Linked DNA regions of Callithrix jacchus. The protein of the gene in region 2 purifies or fractionates together with the protein of the main gene of each other region. This does not show direct contact. Links are inferred from orthologs where the notes say so. Each region holds a gene or a part of one and is shown on either strand. Other genes may lie near its edges. The genes, in order: C7H1orf174 and STK35.

Evidence for each region.
Region 1: the proteins of STK35 (region 2) and C7H1orf174 purify together in Homo sapiens (affinity purification with mass spectrometry; 3 studies listed by BioGRID and IntAct, counting the BioPlex papers as one, with this or other methods). This does not show direct contact. The link is inferred for Callithrix jacchus from reciprocal best matches to the Homo sapiens genes STK35 and C1orf174.

The regions. Positions count from the first base shown.
Region 1 is NC_133508.1:41,772,329-41,776,645, reverse strand, and holds the start of C7H1orf174 (UPF0688 protein C1orf174 homolog), read left to right. Parts: upstream 1-1,290; 5' UTR 1,291-1,354; coding exon 1,355-1,369; intron 1,370-4,317.
Region 2 is NC_133506.1:9,683,215-9,687,737, forward strand, and holds the start of STK35 (serine/threonine-protein kinase 35), read left to right. Parts: upstream 1-1,655; 5' UTR 1,656-1,710; coding exon 1,711-2,004; intron 2,005-2,598; coding exon 2,599-3,196; intron 3,197-4,523.

The DNA.
Region 1 (4,317 bases), on a different chromosome or scaffold from region 2:
GAACCCAGAGGCGGAGGTTGTAGTGAGCCAAGATGTCGCCACTGCACTCCAGCCTGGGCGACAGCGAGACTCCACATCTCAAAAACACACACACAGACACACACATACAAAATAAAACAAAAGAAAAACAGCGGTCCTCAGCTTTATAAACACCTCCCTTAGCTGATGGAAAGGCCAGGATGTCAAGGGGCAGCCGAGGAGGACACATCAGCAGCCCAGGCCTGATACGGACGAGTCAGATGGAGGAGGCGTGGCCGCTGTGTGTCCGTCAAGACCTGCTAGAGGCATGCCCACTGGAGGAGGCGTGGCCGCTAAGGGTCCACCTCGGCCCCGGGAGAAACGGGGCGGCGGTGGGGTCAGTTCCTGCCTTGCAAGTGAGGGGGGTGAGGTCCAGGCCCCCAGCCCCACGCCGGACCCTGGCCTTCTGGGCCCACCGACAGCCTCTACTAAGGCCCGCGACGTGGGGGATAGCAGAAGCCACTTCCCAGGCGGGCCACTCCAGCCCAAAGCGGCATGTTGCGGGGCAGCACAGGCCTGGGGAATCCCTCGCGCTGTTCAACGCCGCTCACCGGCGCTCAGAAACCAGCGCTCTGCGGCACTGGAGAAACCACTGCCCACCCTCCTACAGGGTCGTGGCCAGGGGCTGGAAGGTGAGGGACCCCTTGTGGACGCCTCTCCCGCCCCTCTCAAACATGGCGGCCACAGGTGCACCAAGGCGTCCCTCACAAACATGGCCGCCCGCCCTCAACCATGGCGGCCAAAGACGCTTCAAAAGGAAGCGCCCCTCACGAACATAGTTGCCCACCCCTCTCAAACATGGCGGCCACAAACGCAAAAAAAGAAGCGCCCCTTACAAACATGGCCGTCTGCCCCCCTCAAATATGGTGGCCAAAGAGGCTTCAAGGGAAACGCCCCTCAAAAACATGGTTGCTCACCCCTCTCAAACATGGCGGCAACAGGTGCACCAAAAGAAGCCCATGAACATGGCCGTCCGCCCCCTTCAAATATAGCATAGACGCTACAAGAAACGGCTCCCTTAAACATAACCTCCCAGCCCTGCCACGGGTGTGGGAAACATGGCGGCTACAGGGCTGCCAACGGACGCGCGCCACACGAACAATGCCGGGCACAGGCCGACTTAGAGCTCCAGCGTCCCATCACTGGCCCAAAGCCTGTGAGCTGCGCGCGCCGCTTACGTAAGCAACAACTGTGGCGTCACATGACAAAGGCGCTGCCCTGTGATTGGCTGTGCTGACGTCGGTGACCGCCGCGGCGCGCTCTGCGGACTCCGCATTGCTGTTCAGCCGGAACGCGTTGGGCTGGGGGGCGCGGGACTTGGCGGCGGTGCTTACTCATGAGGAGCCGGAAGGTGAGGGCTGGGGCCCGGCAGCAGCTGCACTGGGCAGCGTGGTGGGGGGGCTCCGGGCCACCCGCTGTCTGGAGAGCCGTGGCAGTGTCACGGGGTGCCTGTGTTCTAGGAGCGGCCTCCGCTTGGGCCTCGTCCCCGGGAGTCGGGAGGCTCCCAGGTCACGCCCCCGGGAGTCGGGAGGCTCCCAGGCTGCGCCCGGGGAGAAGTAAAGCGCTGAGGCCACGCCTCCGGGAGAACGGGGGATGCGGGCCATGCCCGTGGGACAAGTGGAGCTCACCCGGGAAAAGAGGGCTCCCAGGTCACCCCCGCACCCGGAGAAGGGGGGCTCTGGGACACGCCCTGGGAGAAGGGGACTCCCAGGTCACGCCCCCTTGAAGGGAGGCTTCAGACCACTTTCCCAGGAAGGTAGGGTGCCCCCTTCAGAACTGTTTTCAACTCCTGGCAGTGCTGGATGCCTTAGAGCAGAGTTTGTGCCCCTCAACTGCTGCCACTCCAGTGGAGGTCACACAGCATGTGACCTCAGCTTGGCCCCAGCTACTTAATATGCAAAAAAATGGGGTGATGAGGGATCCATCCAGAGGGGGGTGCCAGTGTCTGGGAAGGGGCAAATGCTCACTGCGTGGGTAACGATTAAGGTGAAGGACCCTTTTCACAGTGGACCCGGACCCGGACCTGGGCTGGAACCTCTTGGGAGGCTCTGAGCTGCATCCCGGCTCTCCTGGTTTGTTCAAATGGAGTGGGCACTTGTGAATTCCAACTCCTTTTACTATTTTTATCTTTGAACCAGAATGTGTCTCCTATAGGCAGCGTATACTTGGATATTTTTAAAAATCCAGTCTGGTGGTCTCTGTAGTTAGGTTTACATAGGCTATTGTACTTTTTCTTTTCTTTACACAAGTCTGTCTTTTTCTTCCCCTGTTCCTTTAAGTGGATTAAAGTGAATATTTCCTAACGTAGCATTTTCATAAATTTTTTTAACTATATTTTTGGGTTTTTTTCCAATGCTTGCTCTGTGTTTTACCATGTATATCTTAATCAGCTTCATATTTGTACTAGGTCAATTCCAAGTGATACAGAAATGTTACTCGTATATGGTTATGTTTGGGGTATTTTGTTATGTGTATTTCGTCTGTTGATGTTACAAACTCAGCATACTCTGTTATAATTATTATTATCTGTGGTCATTTCCTTAGACCTATAGGGCTTTGCTTTCACCCACTTTGTTTTGTTATTGGCAAATTTAGTACATGTCTGTATAATTACATACGTATTATTGCATACAATTGCTTTCAAAATTAGTTGAGAGAAGGAGATAGAAAAATAAGCATTTACACCATCTTTTTAAGAACATAATTACTTTTACTGGTGGGGTGTGTGTGTGTGGAGGGGGGTTGAATTACTGTCTGGGGTCACTTGATTTCAGTCTAACTTCCTTTAGTATTTCTTGTAAAGAGAGTTTTTTTTGTTCGAGTTGAGTCTCGCTCTGTTGCCTGGCTGGAGTGCAGAGGCACAATCTCGGCTCACTGCAGTCTCTGCCTCCTGGGTTCAAGTGATTCTCCTGCCTCAGCCTCTGGAATGGCTGGGATTACAGGTGCCCACCACCGCACTAGCTGATTTTTGTATTTTTACTAGAGATGGGGTTTCATCATGTTGGCCAAGCTGGGTCTCAAACTCCTGACCTCAGGTCATCTACCTGCCTCAGCCTCCCAGAGCTCTGGGATTACAAGCATAAGCCATCACTCCCAGCCCGTTTTTGAAGTATAGCTTTCCTAGATACAGGTCCCAGTTTGTTTGTTTGTTTGTTTGTTTGTTTGTTTGTTTGTTTGTTTGTTTGTTTGTAATGGAATCTTGTTACCCAGGCTGGAGTACAGTGGTGTGATCTCAGCTCACCGCAACCTCCACCTCCCAGGTTCAAGCTATTCTCCAGCCTCAGCCTCCTGAGTAGCTGAGACTACAGGTGCATACCACCAAGCCCAGCTAATTTTTTGTATTTTTAATAGAGACAGGGTTTCACTGTGTTCGCAAGGATAGTCTCGATCTCCTGACCTCGTGATCCGCCCGCCCGGCCTCCCAAAGTGCTGGGATTTCAGGTGTGAGCCACTACACCTGGCTGTTAGTTTGTTTGTTTGTTTTTGAGCATTTTGAATATGTTTGAATATTCTCCATTGTTTCAGCTGAGAAGTCAGTCCTGCATTTACTGAGGTTGCCTTCTGAGTGGCTTCCTTCTTGCGGCTTTCAAGATTTTATTCTTTCGTGGCTTTCAAGAGTTTGCCCTTGGTCTTTGTAATTTTACGGTGACGTATCTGTGGATCTCTTTACTTGTTCGGTTCATTCAGATTCCTGGATATGTAGATTGATGTTTTTCTGTAAATTTGGGGAGTTCTCAGCCATTATTTCTTGGAATCTTTTTTCTGCTCCTTCCTGTCTGCATTCTTTGTGGTTCTTATTACACATGTGTTAGTGTGCTTAATGCTGTCCAACATTTCTCTGAGGCTCTCTTCATTGTTCTTCATTCTTTTCTTCTCTCTGTTCCTCAGCGGGCATAATCTCTCCATCCAGCTTGTTTGCTTATTCTACCAGTTCATATTTACTATTGGGCCCTCCCAGTGAATTTTTTTATTTCAGTTTTTAGACTTTTCTACTCCAGAATTTCTATTTGATTTTTAAGTAATTTTTCTTTATTGATCATTTGTTTGATGCAACATTATCTTTCTTCTTTTTTCTTGATTTTGATTTTGTTTATAATGGCTACCTTGGTCCTTTATATATGTATAAATCCAACTTCTGGTCACTCTCACAGACAGCTTCTGTGGCCTGCTTTTATTTCAGGGTATGAGTCTAGTTTTCTGTTTCTTTGATTGCTTCATAATTTTTTTCGGAATCTGGACATTTTAGATAATATATTTTAGCAATTCTGGGTACTGTTCCCAACCCTGGGGCTTGTCATT
Region 2 (4,523 bases):
CCTGATGAAAGGCCCTGAGGAGGCAACTCTTTTCAGTAACATTCCTGCCAGAAAATGCAAACCCTCACCCTCTCAGAATAGCAAGGGATGGGTAGGTAATGTGGGGCGGGGGGGGGGGGGGGGGGAAGTGCATACTCTGCATGTAATCATAAGAAAACATTAAAATCAAAATTTAGGGACATTCTATAATATAACTCACCAGTACTCTTCCAAAATGTCAAGGTCATGAAAGACGAAGGCTGGATAACTGCCCTTCCAGGTTAAAGGAAACTAAAGAGGTATGACAAGTCAATGAAACGTGTGATCCTGAATTGCATCCTGGGGAATAGCTATAAAGAACATGATTGAGACAATTAGCAAAATTTAAATATGGATGGAGTGTATTAAATAACACAATTGTATCATTGTTAAAATTCCTGACTTTTGATCACTGTACTGAGATTATGCAAGATAATGCCTTTTTTAAAGGAAAGACATATAAATATTTGGAATAAAGAAGCTTGTTGGAAACTCTAAAATGATGTCCTAAAATATATATATATACATTATATAAGTGTGAGTGTGTGTGTGTGTGTGAATATCTATATACCATATACTGATTCCCTTTCTTTTCAGGTATAAACCATATGGATATCTACACACAATATATGTGTGTGTGTGTGTAAGATACGGAAATGCAGCAAAATATAACAATTTGTTATTCTGGTAAAAAAGTATATGATCTTTATGATTCTTGAAATTTATGTGTAAATTTGAAATTTAATCACAAAAACATTAGAGGCTTTCAGCGACTAAATACACTATCAGATATAGCCTGTCCCCAACGAGCACTCTTTAGCTCATTCTTCTTCTCCATCACACTTATCAATGGCAAAAATTATCCTTTAATACTTAACATTGACTGTGTGTAAGGCTGTCCTAAGTGCTTTATCTGGATAACCTCTGTGAATCTTCTTACAGGTGAGGTAAAAACCCACAAGAAAGTTGATTAACTTGCCCAAGGCCACCCATGTGGTTTGTCTCCTGCAGTGACACAGAACCTCAACCAAGGCAGAAACTGCCTTGTCTACTTCTCTTTCCCCAGAGACTTAAAACGGTGCCTAGCACATTACAGGTGTTCAATAGATAACGGTAGATTCAGTTAACACTGGGCACCCACTAGGCCTACACTGTAATACAAAGTACAGAACAAAATACTCAAAAATCTGTGCTTAAATGGAGCTTTGAGTATTAACTCAGCCCCACACCCAATTAGCCTCTATCTATGTATTTCATTTGGTTCTATTGTTCCTGAGAATTAAGGCCCATTTAATCCATTTAGCAGAGGATCATCAGATAAACGATGCTCAGGTTGTGGCAATGATTTGCACAAGATTACTGGGCTGGTAGAAGGGAAGGTCAGGATTCCAACCCACTCCCTAACGTTCCCAGACCGAGTTATGAATCAAAAAACCAAGACAATCACCCTATCAGTATTTATTAAGCGCCTACTGCGTACGGTTGGTCTTCACGCAGGTCAGGCGAGGAGAAGGGGTCGCGGTGCGCGGGCCGCCGCGGATCACGGGAATTTGGCGCCTATTTTTTGTTGGCTGGGTGTTCTCGCCGGTGATTGGGCCCCGGCGAGGCGTGCTGGTGCGCTCTGCTGCGGCTGCTCCGTCGACCTTGGCAGGACCAGGCGGCGCAGGACTCACTCGGCTGGCCTCCCAGGGGATGGGCCACCAGGAGTCTCCGCTGGCCCGGGCGTCGGCGGGAGGTGCAGCTTATGTAAAGAGGTTATGTAAAGGGCTCAGCTGGCGGGAACACGTGGAAAGCCACGGGAGCCTGGGAGCCCAGGCCTCCCCAGCGAGCGCCGCGGCAGCAGAAGCACCCGCCACACGCCGGGCTCGGGCCACCACCTCCCGCGCAGCTCGGTCACGGAGGCAGCCTCATCGCGGAGCGGACCATCCCCAGACAGGGGCTCCAGGAGTGAAACGGACAGCCCGGAAGCGGAGGTGCGCGGGCCAGGTAAGGGTACTGTTCGAGGACTGAAGAGCCAGCACCGAGGATGGAGTTACTGCCACTGCCTCCGCGCTCGGGGAGGGCAATCGGATTCCTCGGCCGGTCGCGCTCCGAGACACGGAACTTTTTAGCCAATCTCTTCTACCCGCCGCCCTAGGGGACTTGGGTCGGTCCGCCGGGCTCCGCTAGGGCTTAATTCAATGGACTGTTTACACCCGGGCGAACACAAGGTGGGGCGCGGGGAGGGGCGTCACGGAGGGGTACGGGCAAAGAAAAAGTTTTCCGCCGGCCGAATCGCATCTTAAGGCGGTTTTCAGAAGGCGTTAAGCTTTCTGTGTGTTCTTTTTCTTATCGCTACACGACAAACTAACAGAGAAAGGGGAGAGTTTGTGCTTTTCTTTCCGGTTCTCCCTCTGAGCCGCTGCCCAGTGGTTCCGTCTTTCCCGCTTTCCCCTCCCCTCCCCCGTTCAATCAGCGGCTGTGGCTTCCGTCTTAAAGGGGCCGCGGCGGCCGGGGGAGGAGGAGGTGGGGCGCTCCGCGGCCTACTCTCCTGGCCTCCCCGCCTCGGCCTGGTCGTTTAACCGATTCTTTGGCCTGCAGGTCACAATCCAAGGTCCCGCTCCTCCGCGTCCCGGGGCCGGACGAAGGGATGAGGCAGGGGGGGCCCGGGCAGCGCCGTTGCTGCTCCCCCCGCCGCCCGCAGCCATGGAAACGGGAAAGGACGGCGCCCGCAGAGGTACACAAAGCCCGGAGCGGAAAAGGCGAAGCCCAGTGCCGCGGGCGCCCAGCACGAAGCTGAGGCCAGTGGCGGCGGCCCAGGCCATGGATCCGGTGGCGACCGAGGCCCCGGGCGAGGCCTACCTGGCGCGGCGATGGCCAGAGGGCGGTGGCGGGTCCGCTCGGCCGCGCTACAGTCTGTTGGCGGAGATCGGGCGCGGCAGCTACGGCGTGGTTTACGAGGCAGTGGCCGGGCGCAGCGGGGCCCGAGTGGCGGTCAAGAAGATCCGCTGCGACGCCCCCGAGAACGTGGAGCTAGCTCTGGCTGAATTCTGGGCCCTCACCAGCCTCAAGCGGCGCCACCAAAACGTCGTGCAGTTTGAGGAGTGCGTCCTGCAGCGCAACGGGCTAGCGCAGCGCATGAGTCACGGCAATAAGAGCTCGCAGCTTTACCTGCGCCTGGTGGAGACCTCACTGAAAGGTAGGAGCACCGCCGTCCTTTCCACATTTGCAAGGCCTGGGTCCGCGCCTCTCCGGACGGTTTGGCACACATTGTTCCCGGCCCCCCTAGGCCTCAGACCTGGTTCCTGTCACCCTGTGCCCGGACACACCCTCCTTTTCTAGGCACAGGAATTCGGCCCTCTTTTCAGGTCCCAGGATCAGTTTCTGGGCCTAACGTTGGCTGATATTTTAATAACAAGAGCTTAAGTGCAAACCATTAACTTAATAGGTGCTCAGTAATTGTGAGCTATGGTGATTAAATGCCTACTACCTTTTTAGATCGGTCAGGGAGTGGAGGAGGTGTTGGGTTCAGTTAGTAGCAGAACTGCGGAGCCCACTCACCCTCTAGGGCCTCTCTCTTTCCCTCCCAAAACGAACAAAAAGAAAAAACTTCACTGGACCCATCCACACCCTCTCCCTGTGTGGTTCCAAGTTTCCTAACACCCTCCAGCTCCCACACCCAAACTCTTGTGGCCTCCTACTCTGCCTTTTCCTCTGAGGCCCCCAGTCCTTCATCCCAGGCAGCCAAGCAAACTGGCGGTTTTCTTGCTTGGTCCTCCGAGGCATGCAGGCTGACAGCCCTCACAGGTGGCCTGAGAGCTGTCACATAACAAAGCATTCAACATCTTTTCCCTTTGTTTTACAATCTTAATCTTTTTCTTAACCTCAGAGGCTGGCTGGGAAGTGGTTTTACTTAGAAGGAAAATGGGGTTCATTGAGGCAAGTGGTCTTCAAGTCCTGGAAGAACTAATTACCTTAATTTCCCGGTTTTGACTGCCGTTAGGGACCGTGTTCATCCTAAATACTCGGTACCCACAAGCCTTGTTCCTACTACTGCTGTTAGCTAGGTGTCTTCACGGAGAGGAGGAGAGGGACATTGGAAAGTTTGAGGAGACTTTCTGAGGCAGGAGGATCCAGGGGAAGAAAGTTGACTAATCCGAGGCCCAGCTGTGGTCTTAGCGCTGAAGTAATTTTTAGGTAATAACTTCAAAAGTAAATTCTGTCCTCTTTCTATAAATAGAGAAACTAGGCTTAGAAGTGAACAAATAACTTGATCAGGGTTAATCTGCTTGAAAGGGAAGTTTGACTATGCTCCTGGTTTCCTTAAGTTTCTCAGAGCTTAAGTGATGGGGAACCCAGATCTGTCTTGATTCAAGGCCTGGGTCCTTTCAAAGGTGTAATGCTGTTCTCCCTACCCTGAGGATGAACTTTTAAGAATGGGTAGGATTTGGGGTGAGTTTGGAGGGGGTGGTCTCCTAAAATCTTCTTTGGGGCTTTTGCCCAACTTTAAGATTCCCCAAGCCTTT